Linked DNA regions of Drosophila melanogaster. The protein of the gene in region 1 interacts with the protein of each later gene in a pairwise test. Each region holds a gene or a part of one and is shown in the gene's direction. Other genes may lie near its edges.

Evidence for each region.
Region 2: the proteins of HSPC300 (region 1) and CG5446 interact in a two-hybrid assay, tested with the Drosophila melanogaster proteins (one large-scale study listed by BioGRID).

The regions. Positions count from the first base shown.
Region 1 is NT_033778.4:24,024,288-24,031,357, reverse strand, and holds HSPC300 (haematopoietic stem/progenitor cell protein 300), read left to right. Parts: upstream 1-2,568; 5' UTR 2,569-2,623; coding exon 2,624-2,744; intron 2,745-3,233; coding exon 3,234-3,343; 3' UTR 3,344-3,641; downstream 3,642-7,070. Other genes in the region: CG30172 (uncharacterized protein), read left to right, coding at 193-388, 515-657; CG3163 (uncharacterized protein), read right to left, coding at 874-1,980; EbpIII (ejaculatory bulb protein III), read right to left, coding at 3,963-4,343; Ak2 (adenylate kinase 2), read right to left, coding at 5,711-5,926, 5,991-6,158, 6,222-6,458, 6,938-7,039.
Region 2 is NT_033779.5:12,425,018-12,432,152, reverse strand, and holds CG5446 (uncharacterized protein), read left to right. Parts: upstream 1-4,443; 5' UTR 4,444-4,585; coding exon 4,586-4,684; intron 4,685-4,765; coding exon 4,766-4,927; 3' UTR 4,928-5,522; downstream 5,523-7,135. Other genes in the region: CG5435 (uncharacterized protein), read left to right, coding at 1,366-1,406, 1,460-1,875, 1,960-2,081; Trm1 (tRNA methyltransferase 1), read right to left, coding at 2,181-2,355, 2,413-3,492, 3,556-4,010, 4,070-4,096; Fam92, read right to left, coding at 5,817-6,092, 6,144-6,614, 6,670-6,810, 6,865-7,024, 7,076-7,135.

The DNA.
Region 1 (7,070 bases):
ATTGCCATGTATATAGAGTACGTGGCATCTCATCAGATATTCGGATTGTAATCACAGTGCTTAGCAATCATTACCCTTTCCGTGATTTTGCGAAGTCCAGCTCCTTTGCGCATGCACGAATATCTGCGGGATACAGATACACAGTTTCTGCTCCACATTCAGTTATACTATACCGTCTCGCGTTCAGAAAGGATGCTACTTTTAAATAAAAACCGAGTGATTTCTTTGGTCGTTAATTTTATTTTTCTTATCATTCTCATTTCATCGAGTGTCCAAGCGGATGAGAGAAACATTAACAAGCTGCTGAACAACCAGGTGGTGGTCAGCCGCCAGATTATGTGCATCCTGGGCAAGAGCGAATGCGACCAACTGGGACTTCAACTCAAAGGTAATAAACATATTCGTTTAATGTTCGTTCAGATACAACATCATTTTAAGTCCAAAGTTCTTTTCAAGTTCTTCGCCAATTGGTAAAGAGCCCAAAATGTAATTATTTCGAATTTGGTTCTTACAGCTGCCCTGCCAGAAGTTATAACCAGGAAATGCAGGAACTGCTCCCCACAACAGGCTCAAAAAGCGCAAAAGCTGACCACATTTCTGCAAACTAGATACCCGGACGTATGGGCCATGCTTCTAAGGAAGTACGACAGTGCCTAAATGGCATTTAAATGTTATTCTCATGCATCGAATATAATAAACTAGTCTCGACATCATTCCTAGCATTTGGTTTCGTAGCTTAGGGGATTTTCTAAGGATTAGGCGGCTGAAAGGAATCCCTCCTTTAAATAAAACATGGCTTTGTACACATGACTGTCTCTTTACATCTTATTATTACATAAACTCTAAAAGTACGTCTTTAAAGGGGCCAGGCCATCATTTACTGTGGCTCTCTAGGTAAACTGTTGCATTGTCCACGCCCATAAACTGGTGTATACTCAGCGAGGACAGCATTTTCATCTGGCCCTGGTACAGCACATCGGCGATGATCTTTTCCGCGTAGATAGCCTGTGTTCCGTCCATGGAGCGAAGCTTGTGTGCGATAATTTTCCCGAAGTTGGAGAAGTGGTCGTCCAGCTGGCTGTCCGCACTCTTTAGGGCCAGCGAAAAGAGGCGCTCAAAGTCAATGGTGGAAATGTCCGCTCGGAATTTACCTGGAGGCGGCTCGTTGTCCTCCGAAATCTGCGAAGAGACCGAGGAGGACCTTTTCCGTGTTATGTGATTGGCTTTCTGGCTCGGGCTCTGATTACTGATCAGTTTCGTTTGGTTCTGGGTGACGATGCGCTTGCACTGCGGCGATTCGGAGTCGCCAGGCGGAGACTTTATGGAGTCGGGCACGGATTTTCTGCGGGCGGACAGCAGCCTGTTGTTAGCAGGCACCACGATTTCGACCTCCTTGATAGTAGCGCCACTGGCATGGCTGTTGGCGTTGTTGACTGTTTTAATACTGATAACGGGGTCAGCGGCAGCGGCGGCGGCGGCCTCCTCGAAGATGTTGGCACAGAATTCGTTGGCGCTGTTGTTGGGTGACATCTTGATCGAGTCTGCCGTCGGCTTTGGGGGCTTGTGCAGGCTCTCGGCGTCGGAATACTCGTCGCCGTTCTCTGGCGCCCCTAGCTGCATGGAGTTGTCCAGGCAGACCGACTGCTCGCGCTTGAACTTCTTGTCGGCGGGGATCTCCTCGTCCTTAAGGAACATCAGGGACTCGAAGTAGCGGCGCTTGGGGCAGTAGGGCTCGTACTTCTCGCCCTTTTTCTTGACCTCGTTGTATTTCCTCAGCTGATGACGAAATGCACAGCGCAGATTGTTTATCTTTTGCTTTGTTCGCTCCACATTGTACATCTCCCCGTGCTTGGTGGCCACCTCGATGAGCTTCGCGTAGGCCTCCTGCCGGCGGCTGCGGTTCCTGAAGTCCGCCGAGTCCGCCTTCCACAAGCACGGATTGCTTTTGTATTCTTCGATGAAGTCGTCGATAAAGTCCATTTTTTGTTTACCAAATGAAAAACACTGTAGTTTACGGGGCCACCTAGTTTATCTATGTGTGCGTGTGCGTGAGTGGCATCAATAGCTATCGTTTCGCTCGGCTCATTCCGATTGGAACACGCGGAATCGGACCGCAAAATGGGTACATACTTTGCTGGTTTGCAGTAATTCCTTAATAAATATCATTTAAAACAATAAAACATCGAAAACTAACCCACGGTTAATATAAAATATAGCAAACGCAAATTCGAATATATCTATGTATATTGCGATATACAATTGTATATTGCGGCGATAAGTTTCTTTATATATTCGGCTGTGTCTACCCCAATACTTTTATTATTTACCTTTATTTTATTATTCATATTTACACGCTATAGTTGGCAGACAAAAATATTAAGTTATTTCTTTCATCGCACTTTCCCGCGTAATTTTTAAATAGTAGTGCTTAGGGAGTGTTGTAAAACACCATTAAAATTTCTTGTTGGAGTAAAAATTTGATCTCAATGAATCACGGTGAACACGGTAATTGTATGCCTATCGATAGTTCCAAATTTTTGACAATAATTGTTCCGGCCCAACCCATCTCTCATCTCTAGATAAACACAATTAAAACGAACAGAAACAATAGGAATAAATAAAGATGAGTGGGGCTCACAGAGAGGCGATCCAAAAGCAGATCCACCAGGACTGGGCGAACAGGGAGTATATCGAAGTGATAACTGCCAGCATAAAGAGAATCACCGACTTTCTGAACTCTTTCGGTAAGCAACCTGCATACGAAGCACCCACTTCCCTCTGACGCATGTGTGTGTGCGCGTGTTTATTATCACTTCCTTTGTAGGTGTGGGTGAACGCATAAGTAATATTACTAACAAATATTCATCAGTGACAATGACTTTATTTACTCAAGTCTTAAGTCTATAGAAACAAACAGTGGTTTGTGCGTGGTGGCATATATGTATAGCAATATATGTATCTACATACATATGGAAATGTATGTATGTAACATCATCGGAGGGCTCAAAACGAAAATTCGGCTTTATCTCTATCCGAATTAGTCACCTAAATGAATTGGATAAGCTTTTTCGGTTGCTCTATGCATAATTTAAGATACGCTAAATACTGTGATAAATGATAAGCCAAAGAGTGCGAGGTAGTTGGGTTGCTAAAATATCCCATATCCTTAATAGGGTTTATGTACACTGTTGGCATTATAAACTGTATCATCGTGTGCTATCATATCCTTTCAGATATGTCCTGTCGCTCCCGTCTGGCGGTGCTGAACGAAAAACTAACGATCCTGGAGCGGCGCATAGACTATCTGGAGGCGTGCGTCGCCCAGGGTGAAACATTAACGTAAACGCTGCCCACAACCTTATACTAAGCTTTGTACATTTATAAGTAATTAAAATACTGATTTAATATTTAATATCTTTTGATTCGCAATGTGAATTGCCGTGACATTAATAATTCGCTGTACATTGTTTGTTTGTTCTTTGAAGGAAGGTTTTCACGGCTGAGTTACTTGCGGCCATCGGATTCGATTCATTGCCCCTTTTAAGAATAATATAAGTAATAGCTCAGAACCAAGACAAGCACGCGATGTTTTTGCCAACTAACCGTAGCTGCCTTTATTGTCAATGTTAATGCAAATCGCCCGCCATATATAAGCCGCTTATTAGGGTCTAGTCGTAATCTTGTGAATGTTTTTTCTAAGACCTTAATTGTGCTTAGATTAATCATCGTTCTAGTAGCAGGAGGCTAGACTTAAGTGCTACATTTGTCATAGTTAATTTATATACTCTCTGAAGCCTGGCAAATCCCCCTTCGATAACGATATAATACTCGGCAGGTGTATGGTAAAAAAACAAATCTCTTTATTCCGAGCACGATCGTAGAAATAATTTTGATGATCAGATATAAGCGTAGACCTAATTAACAGTGCATATAACCAAGAGTTTCCGGAACCGGGATCCGCCTTACACCTTGATTCCCGAGGCCTCGGCGGTGGCGCGGTAGCGCTTGATGTAGATCTCATCGGGATCGTACTTGGCCTGCAGCTGCTTCCACTCCTCGGGCTTGTTTTCGATGATGTAGCGAATGACCTTGTCGGTGTTCTGGCGCTGCTTCTCGCTGCACTTGCTGCACTCCGTCTTCAGGGCGTCCGGCAGGGACTTCTTGAGCTCCCGGCCCTCCGGGGTGCACTTTCCGTTGTCCACCAGGCACTTGAAGTAGTTTCCGAAGAGGCGGTCCGACTTCAGGATCTCGTCGACGTCGATGTTGTCGTACTTGGTGGTGTACTTATCCTCGGCGGCGACCAGCACCAGTCCAAGGACGACAAGCGCAAGTATCATCTTCATCTTGGAGTTTTCTGCGGGCGAATTGGGGTAAGTATGTTTGTACGATTAATCAGCACTTTTGTGGCTTAGTGGGTCTGTTGGTCGGGCAACCAGTTTTGTGCGCAGGGGATTTTACTGGGCAATGGAAAAATATTTTTACTAGCCATCGAGCGCGACTGCATTCGCAAAATGTATCTGTGGACTTATGGGATTTGTATGCAAATTAATGCACAGCCAGGCAGGCCACTTTGTATGCGTATCTGAAACACATTCGCTGTCTGAAAAGATGTCACTGTTTATACACAATGAAACTGGTTGCCCGTCTGGCTGCGTCCATGAGTGTGTGGACTACTACCAGCCACCAGTCGACCAGCCGAGCCGATCGGCTCCAAAAACTATAAACGGTGCGGTGGTCTTACAATGGGGCTCGACTTGTGGGGCGACTCGGAGCGAATAGATGTGAAGCAATTCAGCTGCTGGAACTAACTGAGAAATGTTTCTATGAAGTGGGCTTTTATACCTGGGCCCACTTTTTACCTGGGATTGAACTTCAAGTGTAATACACAACACAAACCGCGCGCTGTGAGCCTGTGTTCGAGCTCGGCTCGTATCCATACGGGATTGCACACACTTTAGACTTTGAAGCGAAAATCGCTATTGCTGAAAAGTCAACCCAGTGATTAGTCAATCGTCGTTATAAATTTATATAATATATGTGCGATAGTTATACACACTTAAATTGACATTAACATTAGGCAGGTGACGTCTGAGTACTAAACGGCGATCGAAAGTCGCTCTGCGAGAGATTCGCAGCCACGATGGACGGGCTAACTTGGCGATATGTTATTTGTTTACCAGATTTAACGATCTCATTAGCGATTTCCATTAGCAATTTCTCATTTGTTACACTTGAGACCCGTGCAACATGACCCTTTAATAGTCGCTTTAAAGTTGATTGCAATAATAAATAGTTCTCGGAACAATTAGTAGCTATCCATCAAACGCTAAAAACCTCGATTCGAAACTGAGTCAGCCGCATCATATTCCAGAAGCTTTCCGGAAAACAATTGTGTGGAAGTTTGAACTTGGCGTCGTCCATCCCTCATTCGAACGCAGCCCAGTTTAAAGCAGTCATGTCTCGTAAAATGTACTTGTTTCCTTCGATTTTTTTATTAAATTGTATTGTAGTTACAAATAGTGAAATGTAAAAAGTAACAAACACATACACTTTAGAAATCTGTACAAGGAAAGTAGTCGACCTGCAAAGGTAATTTCGTTTGTTCAGGATTTCCGGATGCAACTATAACTTTAGGCTTAAACGTTGTGTGTGTCTCGAAATAAATTGTCAGGAGGCAGTTATCAGTAGTTGATCATTGCGCAGGAACAAATCATAACTGGATCTGGGCAGGACGCTTGCGTTGGAATATAGAGTCGATGGTGGAGAAGACGTCGCTGGACTTCTTGGCGGCGTCCACCTTGAAGTGCAGACCCCTCAGGCCGTAGTAGTCGACCAGCGGCTTTGTCTGCTTGTGATATGCTTCCAGTCGCTTCTTCAGAGCCTCGGCGTTGTCATCGCTGCGACGGATTAGGGGCTCTCCAGTGACCTGCAAGTACACAAGGTCTGCTTTCATTTAGAGTTCTTGGATAGCGTCCTATAGAGATACTTACATCGTCCGTCATTGGCTTCTTTGGAGGGGCAAACTCTTCGTGATACGAACGCCCGCTGGCCTGGTGGATCAAGCGGCCAGTGATGCGCCTCACCAACAGACTGTCGTCGATGGCAAACTCGATGACAGCATCCAAGTTGGTTTTCCTCTTGTCCAGCAATGTGTCGAGCTGCAAAGTGCGTTTCGAACGGATTATAACCTAAAGTCCAAAGTGCTTCACACGTGTGGCTACCTTCTCAGCTTGAACGACAGTCCTGGGGAATCCGTCCAGGAGGAATCCATTCTTGCACTCGGGCTTGTCCAGGTTGGAGTCGATCATGTCCACGACCAGGTCGTCGGAGACCAGTTTGCCGGCATCCATGACCTTCTTCAACTCGGCTCCCAGCTTCGAACCGGATGAAATCTCCGCCCGCAGCATGTCGCCGGTCGACAGGTGGCACACGCAGAACTTCTCCTTCAGCAGGGGAGCCTGAAATGGGCATAATTAAAAACATTGATAAGTTTCAGTTAGAGCTAATCAATTAATCAATTTAGCACCATATCGGAAGGTAAGCAAGGTAACCAATCGGCTAGATAAGATGCATTTCTTGAGGCCAGGAATGTTCTGGTAGCCTTTTAATAGATGGTCTGCATAATACCCAATCGATTGCCTAAAGGTGTTCCACTTAATTCGCCACATCTCGCCAAGGCTTTGATTTGATTCAGGGTCAAGAGAAAGACACTGCTTGACGCATATGTACATACTTGGCACGTAGATACATACATATACATTTCCATGTACACATCGTCTTATATAACTTCACCAGTTTTAATTCTCTTCCAAGAGAATTAACGAGCTTCACCGATTATTTGCAAACAAAAACCGCGCACTTGAACACGTTGTATTTATTTATAGACTACATGGCGTCCGTGTCACAAAAAACACATCATTATGTAATTTTGACCCACCTGCGTTCCTTTGCCGGAACCCGGCGGCCCCAGGAGAATGGCGTTGATCCCGATGTTCTCAGGCTCATATCGCTCCACTGGTACTGCTGCATTCGGCGCCATCGTTAACTACGTATGCTCGACTGATTATTCG
Region 2 (7,135 bases), on another chromosome or scaffold:
CCATCTGTGTCATGCTGTACCCGAACAGCAGGTATAGAAACCATTATACAATCTTACACTTAACACAACTATTTATAGCGAACTATTTTAAGTTTCGGCAGAGTAAATAAGTAGAGATCAGGCATGATTATGTTCCGAGTGAGATCCCCGCAACCTGGGCGATCCCTCGATGTCGGTTCTTGCACATAGGCTTTCATATACTAGAGCGTAGTAGAAATCCTTGAACGTAATCAGAAACAGAACAAAATAAACTCAAATTAACACGGCTTCAATTCAATACCTAAATATCAAATGACAGACAGGACAGGAGGAGAATGAGAGGTGGATGAGTGATAGGAATACTCTAGGATTCTGTTTGTTTCGTTGCGATTCGATTCGATTGCGTTTGTGTTGCTCGTTTCCGTTCTTTGTACCTTTTAACGACAAACTTATTAACAAGCTTCTCCCACACGTTTATTATATATATGCAGGCGAATGGTGTGTGGCAGTTGTTGCGGTTCAGATAAGATTGTGGTTAAATCGCTCGCGATTAAGGATCAGCAGCAGCGCATCATCTAAGCTACAACTCCTTCCTCACGTAGGCGGACACCGCGTGGCTCCTGATTGTTGCTACTGCTGCTGCTGCTGCAGATGCTGATGCTGATGCTGCTGCTGTCGCATGATGCTGTTGCTGGTGCCGCTGATGCTGCAGTTGCAGTTGCCGTAGCCGTAGCAGCTTCCTGTTTCCTGTTAGACGCTGGCGCTGCCAAAGCTGCTCCAGATTCACTCATAGTTTCCCGTTTCCCGTCACTTCTTCTCTCGCCTCGTCTCGTCTCGTCTCAACTCGCGATTTGTTGCTGGTTGGCGTTGTTGGTGTTTTCCTGTATCTTGGTGGGCGTCCCTTTTGAGTTTAGGCGAAAAGTCATCATTTGCAGCAGAGGCCACATCGACGATGCGATGGATGCTAGAGTCTGGATTGCATACTGACTCGACCGAAATGTGGGATTCCCTAACGATCTGGTACATTCGGTAAGTGAGAGAGCTAACCCTTTGAATTTGCAGCCTAATTAAACGCTTCAATAAAGTTTTACTTGATTATAACTTAACCATCTACATATGTTATTAATTGGTTGAAATGGGGTTTTAAAACATATATGTATCTTGGAATATTGTAAAGAAAGATCTAGTATCTTCGGATGCCCAGAACATCCATCCATTATGTTTCGGTTTCTATTGACTCCCGAGAAACATGGTAGTCGGGGGGTATATTGACAAAGCAGTTGCCGGGAAACCGAAGGCAAAATCACATATACCCAAGTCCTTCTGAATACGATTCAGAAACCCTTTTACACTTTCATCTAAATTATATTGGTTTCTCCTGCAAAGATGATTCAGTACGATACTGTGCAGATCAAGAATGTATCATGGTAAGCTTTAGTTATGCCCGACTTGGCTCAAGATGACTATTGTGTGCTCTCAGGCAGCCGGAACTGCATACGGAGGGCACCTATGTGTGCTCTTTTCCAGAGCCCCCGCTGCCGGAGGCCCATCTGAAACCGGGCACCTGGCATGGCCATCTGGAGCCGTATCAGCGGCTCTTCTATCATCAAACGATGAACTCGGTGCGCTCGAGCAAGCGGTACCGTGCCAATCCGAACATCCCGAAGGATACGCTGGACTTTTCGCTGCAGTCGCGCTACGATCACACCCGCGAAGCATTTCCGGACAAGGTGGACTACGTGATGCAGAGGGAGACGTGCCGCGCCATAAGTAGCTGGTCAGCTCCTGGGGCGGCCAAGGAAATTGGTTCCCAACTCAAATCATTTCGGGTGTTGCGCAACACGCGCTTCATTCGGCGCAAGCAGGAGGACGTATTGGGTCATCCACTTCGCATAGGTAAGATCACAAAATTGGTACAAACCTAAAGTTCTCGACGCATTTTAAGTAACACCCACTTCGAATCTAATCATATTGTTGCAGGCGGTTGTAAAGAAAAGATTCATCCGCACAGCGTAAAGCTCATTTGCAGCGGTGTCCACAACCAGCTGGTGAACAATGGATTCTCGCGCCAGACCTCCGACGGCAACTTCTTCCGCTATTAGTTCCACAAATCTGTGTTTGCTTTCCCAGAAAGAATACCATTTTGCGTTTTGGGTTTTACAAACATTATTGGAAATAAATTTGGGACACAGAAGCAGTCGTCACGCAGTCGCCTCCAGCTTGGGCTGCTTGGGCAGGTGCTCCACATCTCCATCATACTCATCCACTGCTTGTGGAGTGTCCTGTTGGTCATCCTCCGCCTGTTGCTCCGACGCTTTGTGACGCTGTTTCTTGTTCTGGTTACGATAGCTCTTGGGTAGTTTGTTGTCACCAATCCTGAAATTGGATGGGAATTTAGTATGCGAAAGTGGGTGGCTCGATTACTTAGCTTACATAATAGTGGCTCTGGTTCCAGGTCCCCAATGTGGAGTCGGATTCTCTTGGAAGCGCGATAATGCCGATTTGCGACTCTTCGGGTTCGCCTCCGGATGGAGTTCATCGAACTCGTAGACAGCAGTGCATTCTTTCGAAAGTATGGCCGCCAGTGGAGATCCAGGAATCATCCTTTCGGGATTTACCGGATGTCGCTTGCTCCAGCTGCGCAGAATGTCCCATAGCACCGCTGGTGGAGCATTGGTTTTCAACGAATTCTTCGAGGCATGCGAGTATGAGACTCGATAGCCAGCGTGGAGAATAGCAGACCGGAACTTTAGCATGGGCACGATTTCTAGCTTGAGCACACAGCACAGTTTGTCCGGCGTGTAGTAAAGGGGAACATCCTGCAGCTCCTCTTGGACCATGGAAAGAACTCCAACGATTCGTCTCTGGGTTCCCAGCGATTGCAAGGTGGTCTCCTGGACCGCCGTTAAAAGATCCTGCACAAATTCGGGGTTATGAATCGGTGCCGACCAGATGGGTCCACCCAGATGATGCCTGTGACCGCAATGTTCGCACTGCGAGTTGACCGCCGGACCAGTGGGAATTCCGAACTTCAGCTGCTGGGGATTACCAGCCGTGGGATTTGGCTTGGTTATGCCCAAGGGCTGCAGCGTGAAGGTCTCACATCCGGTGCATTGGTATATCCAAGACTGCTTGCTCATCGACAGCTTGCATTGGGCCTGGCCGACGTACACACGCACAAATATCCGGATGTAAAAGTCCGCTGATATGCTCAGTAGTGGTTCGATGTACTTGCCGTACCTGTTCGCGTGGCTCTCGATGCAGTGCAGCAAAATGCGCAATGCCATCTCGTGACAGCACTTCATCCGCAGCGGAACCGATCCGTATTTTACATAGCAAGCTTCCGGAGCATTTCCGGCCAGCACGGCCATGTCGGTGGCTGTCACCAGCAGCAGGCCGCCGTCCACCAGGCACTGCATAGCGCCATCCAAAAAGCGATTGGGACATCCGTACGGATCCAAGTCAACTGCATCAAAACGCTTCTCGGGTTGCGTCGAAAGATACATGAGGGTCCTGTACGATGTATTGGAATGCCCCATTTTATACCGTGTGCCAATAGCTTAATTATAAACCTACATTGCATCGGAGTGACTGGGCTCGATCAGCTCCTCCACCTTGTTGTGCCGGATGTTTGTGTTGATCGAGGCCACTGCCTGGCGGGAAAGATCGTTGGCCACGATCTGGCGTACACCGGCGATTTCCTGCGCGTAACGGATGCTACGCAAACCGGTGGCTGCCAGTGCCTCCAGGATCCGAAGTCCATCCTCATATCGAGTACCGGCCTCATAAACAGGTGGATCCTCGGGAACGGGAGTGGTCTTCTCATCCTCCTGTTCCTTGACCTTCTTCCGCTGCTTTTTGAGCGCCTTTTCGCTCCGCTCCTTGGTCAATCTCTGTCGATAAACATTCAGAGCAGCAATGCTCAGATCTCGATTGAATTCCTGGACAGGATTGTAGAACACATTGCCGCCGGAAACGATCTCCGCATTACGTTCGCGTATCACGTTTTCGTTGGGATTTTCAGCAATAATCTGCAATCGTAATGCTTAGCTTAATGTGGTTTATTTATAATGTGTTTTTCTTTAAGAACCTGCGGCTTTTCCTCGTCCACTTCCATTTGGATGAGTTAAAAGAATACACGTGGGGCAGTGTTGAAAAACGTAAGCTACTAGCTATTAAGCTTTAAAACTAAAAATATACACAAATTTGTTGTTTTTTATATGAAATACGAAATAAACATTACAGAATTATATTTAAGTTTAATTTAGTTTCAAAATTTACAATTTGGGTATATTCTCTGTAATAATACATCCCATAAAATGATGTTGAATAAAAATGGTTCTTAATATTTATTTGAATTATTTAAAGATTAAAATAAATTAAAATAATAAATTGACATTAAATATGACTGGAAAATAAAACTTGAAGCTAGCTACTTTGCCACCACCAGGATTATCGAAAGGACTATCGAACCAAAGTCCGCCCCTATGCTTGATAAAGAAATTAATTTGCAGAAGTGAAACAGCCGCAGCCGCAAACAGAAGCAAAAGAGCTAGAAGTGATAGCATTTTTGTACTTTTATACAGTGCCACAAAGAAGCCACAGAATGACCGATCTGCGCAACGAGATGGACAGCGATCTGGACCAGAACTACTCCCTGAACAGCAATGCGGACCCCAAAAACATGCAGGAGCTGACCATATACGTGAGTAATGCCCGAACCGGGAACCACCCAGTAAATAGAGACACCAAATGAGCACCCAGTAAACCTGCCTCCTGTTATCAGGTACAAAATCTGTTGCAGAACGTTCAGGACAAGTTCCAGACGATGTCGGACCAGATAATAACGCGCATCGATGACATGGGCAACCGCATCGACGATCTGGAGAAGAGCATTGCGGATCTGATGAACCAGGCCGGGATCGAGGGTCAGGGACCGGAGAAATGAGATCCGTAGCGCTGGCACGGCCACGCCCATTCGGAAAGTGCATCCCAATACCATTAGATACATACATCGAACACCTGGCACCCAGTCACCCGTATCAAGTTTACAATTCCAGGTTCTCACATTCATTTAATCTCCTCCGCACCCAGCTGCTCCCCAAGAAATGAAGAAAAGAACACATTTGCTCATCCATTTATTGCTTAGTTTTAAGTTTCGCCCGGTCGGGGCACATCATAATTTAAGTAAAGTAATTCTTTTGTGAGCAATGGCCAATAATTTTGAATTATTGCCGTTTAGTTTCTATTTATAAATTAAAAATTCAAGAATTGTAAATTCCCTGCTATTTGGGTGTTCAGGACTTCGATTTAACAACGGTTACCAGGCGACCAGTTCCCGATTTGTGTTTCCTCACCTGAAAGTTTATTGCGAAAAGGGGAAGAGAAGCGCGTCATTTCCGCTTGATTAGTTATGATATGCATATATTTAGTATTGTTTATCTGGGACAAATAATGCAAATCGTGACCCGTGTCCATTAATAAAAAGTGTATGGAAATCAGCGCTGAATGGCAAGGAGTGCTATATAACAATCCCTACTTTTAAAAGGAAAATCAACATTGATTTGTGGACCAGAATGATTTTCGAATATTAATTGCAATTTGTGTTGCTTCTACATATCATGTTTTTTAAGGCAATGAGATAGAGAGTGGTAATACATTCTGATTAAATTATGAAAGGAAGCTCTGAGACTGCGGGGTTACAAAAACCAATTAAGATAAACCCTTAGAAGTATGTTCCTAATTCAATTTTATTTAAGCTCTTGCTACGATTCCAGAATGTGCCTGCAATACTGATGTGAGCTCTAGGAACTCTACTACTGGTCATAATTTGAGTGCTAGTGCTGGGGCACGTGGAACTGCTTCTGCAGCCTTACATGGGTGGAGGCCACCGCCTTGAATGGATGTTTGACCGTTTGTCTGCTGGGCTTCGAAGGAGCAGAAGTGGCACTGGCACTGGTCGATGGCGTGGCTATATCCTTGCTGGCAGATCGGATCTTGGCCCCAAAAACATTCTCCCGCGGAGGAACCTGGTTGCCCGGCTGCGTGGGTTCCCTCTCGTCATCCGTTGCCGTTCCAGATTCCTCGTCCTCTTCGCCACTTTGCTCGGTTTCCTTGGGAGGAATGGAGTTATTCTATCATTCCATAATCATGCCAAATCATACCTCATCTTCATCATCTTCCTCTTCATCCTGCTCGTCGGTTTCATCTTCGGGTTCTGTTTTACTTCCATGATTGATTCCGGCTCCCGTCAGATTCCTATTGCTCCTGGACAACTTCGGGCGCCTCTTGAGCGGACTGACCAGGTGCTCGTGCTCCAAGCTATCCATCGACTGGGAGCGCAGTCCCTTTTTGAGTGCAGTTTTCCTGGAAGCCAGCTCTTCTTTGGTCTTCATGAGTTTCTGAAACTCAATGAAATCGTCGCGCTCATCAATGGTTCCAATATCATAGTAGCTTGCGCTGAGTATCTCCAATGCCTTGGTGTGCTGTTTCATGGCGATCAGTATAAAATCGCTGATTATCTGCTTTAAGTCGCGCAACTTCCGCTGCTCGAAGTTGCCAATAATGTCGTCTATCTCCTTGTTTGTGCGCTGCACCTCCATTTTGGCCTTAAACAGCTCCGAATCGGCGGCACTCTACGGTAAGTTTTGGGAATTATATAAGAAGTAAATTGTTCGTTTTAATACCCACATTGTTCGCAGAAAACTTTGACTTGAGCTCAAGCATCTGGCGCTGACGTAGTACCTCCTTATCCCGCGCTATGACAGCCAGTCGAAGATTGTCCCTTGTGGACTTGCAAAGCTGCTCGAATTGCGCCAACTCGTTGACAATCTACATAAGTCAATAATATGATATAAGATGCAGATTTAAAAAAGGATAATTCACCTTGTGTTCCAATCGGTGTACATTGATGTCCATGTAATCACCCATTATGGTAACCGCGTTGGTGAAGCTCTTCAGTCCCTGACAGAGACTCTCGTTGATTTCCTCGTCGTCGGCGTAGCTCTTCACACTCTTGGCCAACTCATCAAAGGAGTCCCGATATCTGCAAGGTCTTATGATTATTCATTCAGATTTATTTATTTACCAAACTCACTTGGCCATTTTCCGCGTTACCAAAGCAAACGAAGAGCACATCTCCATTAGATGCCTTTCT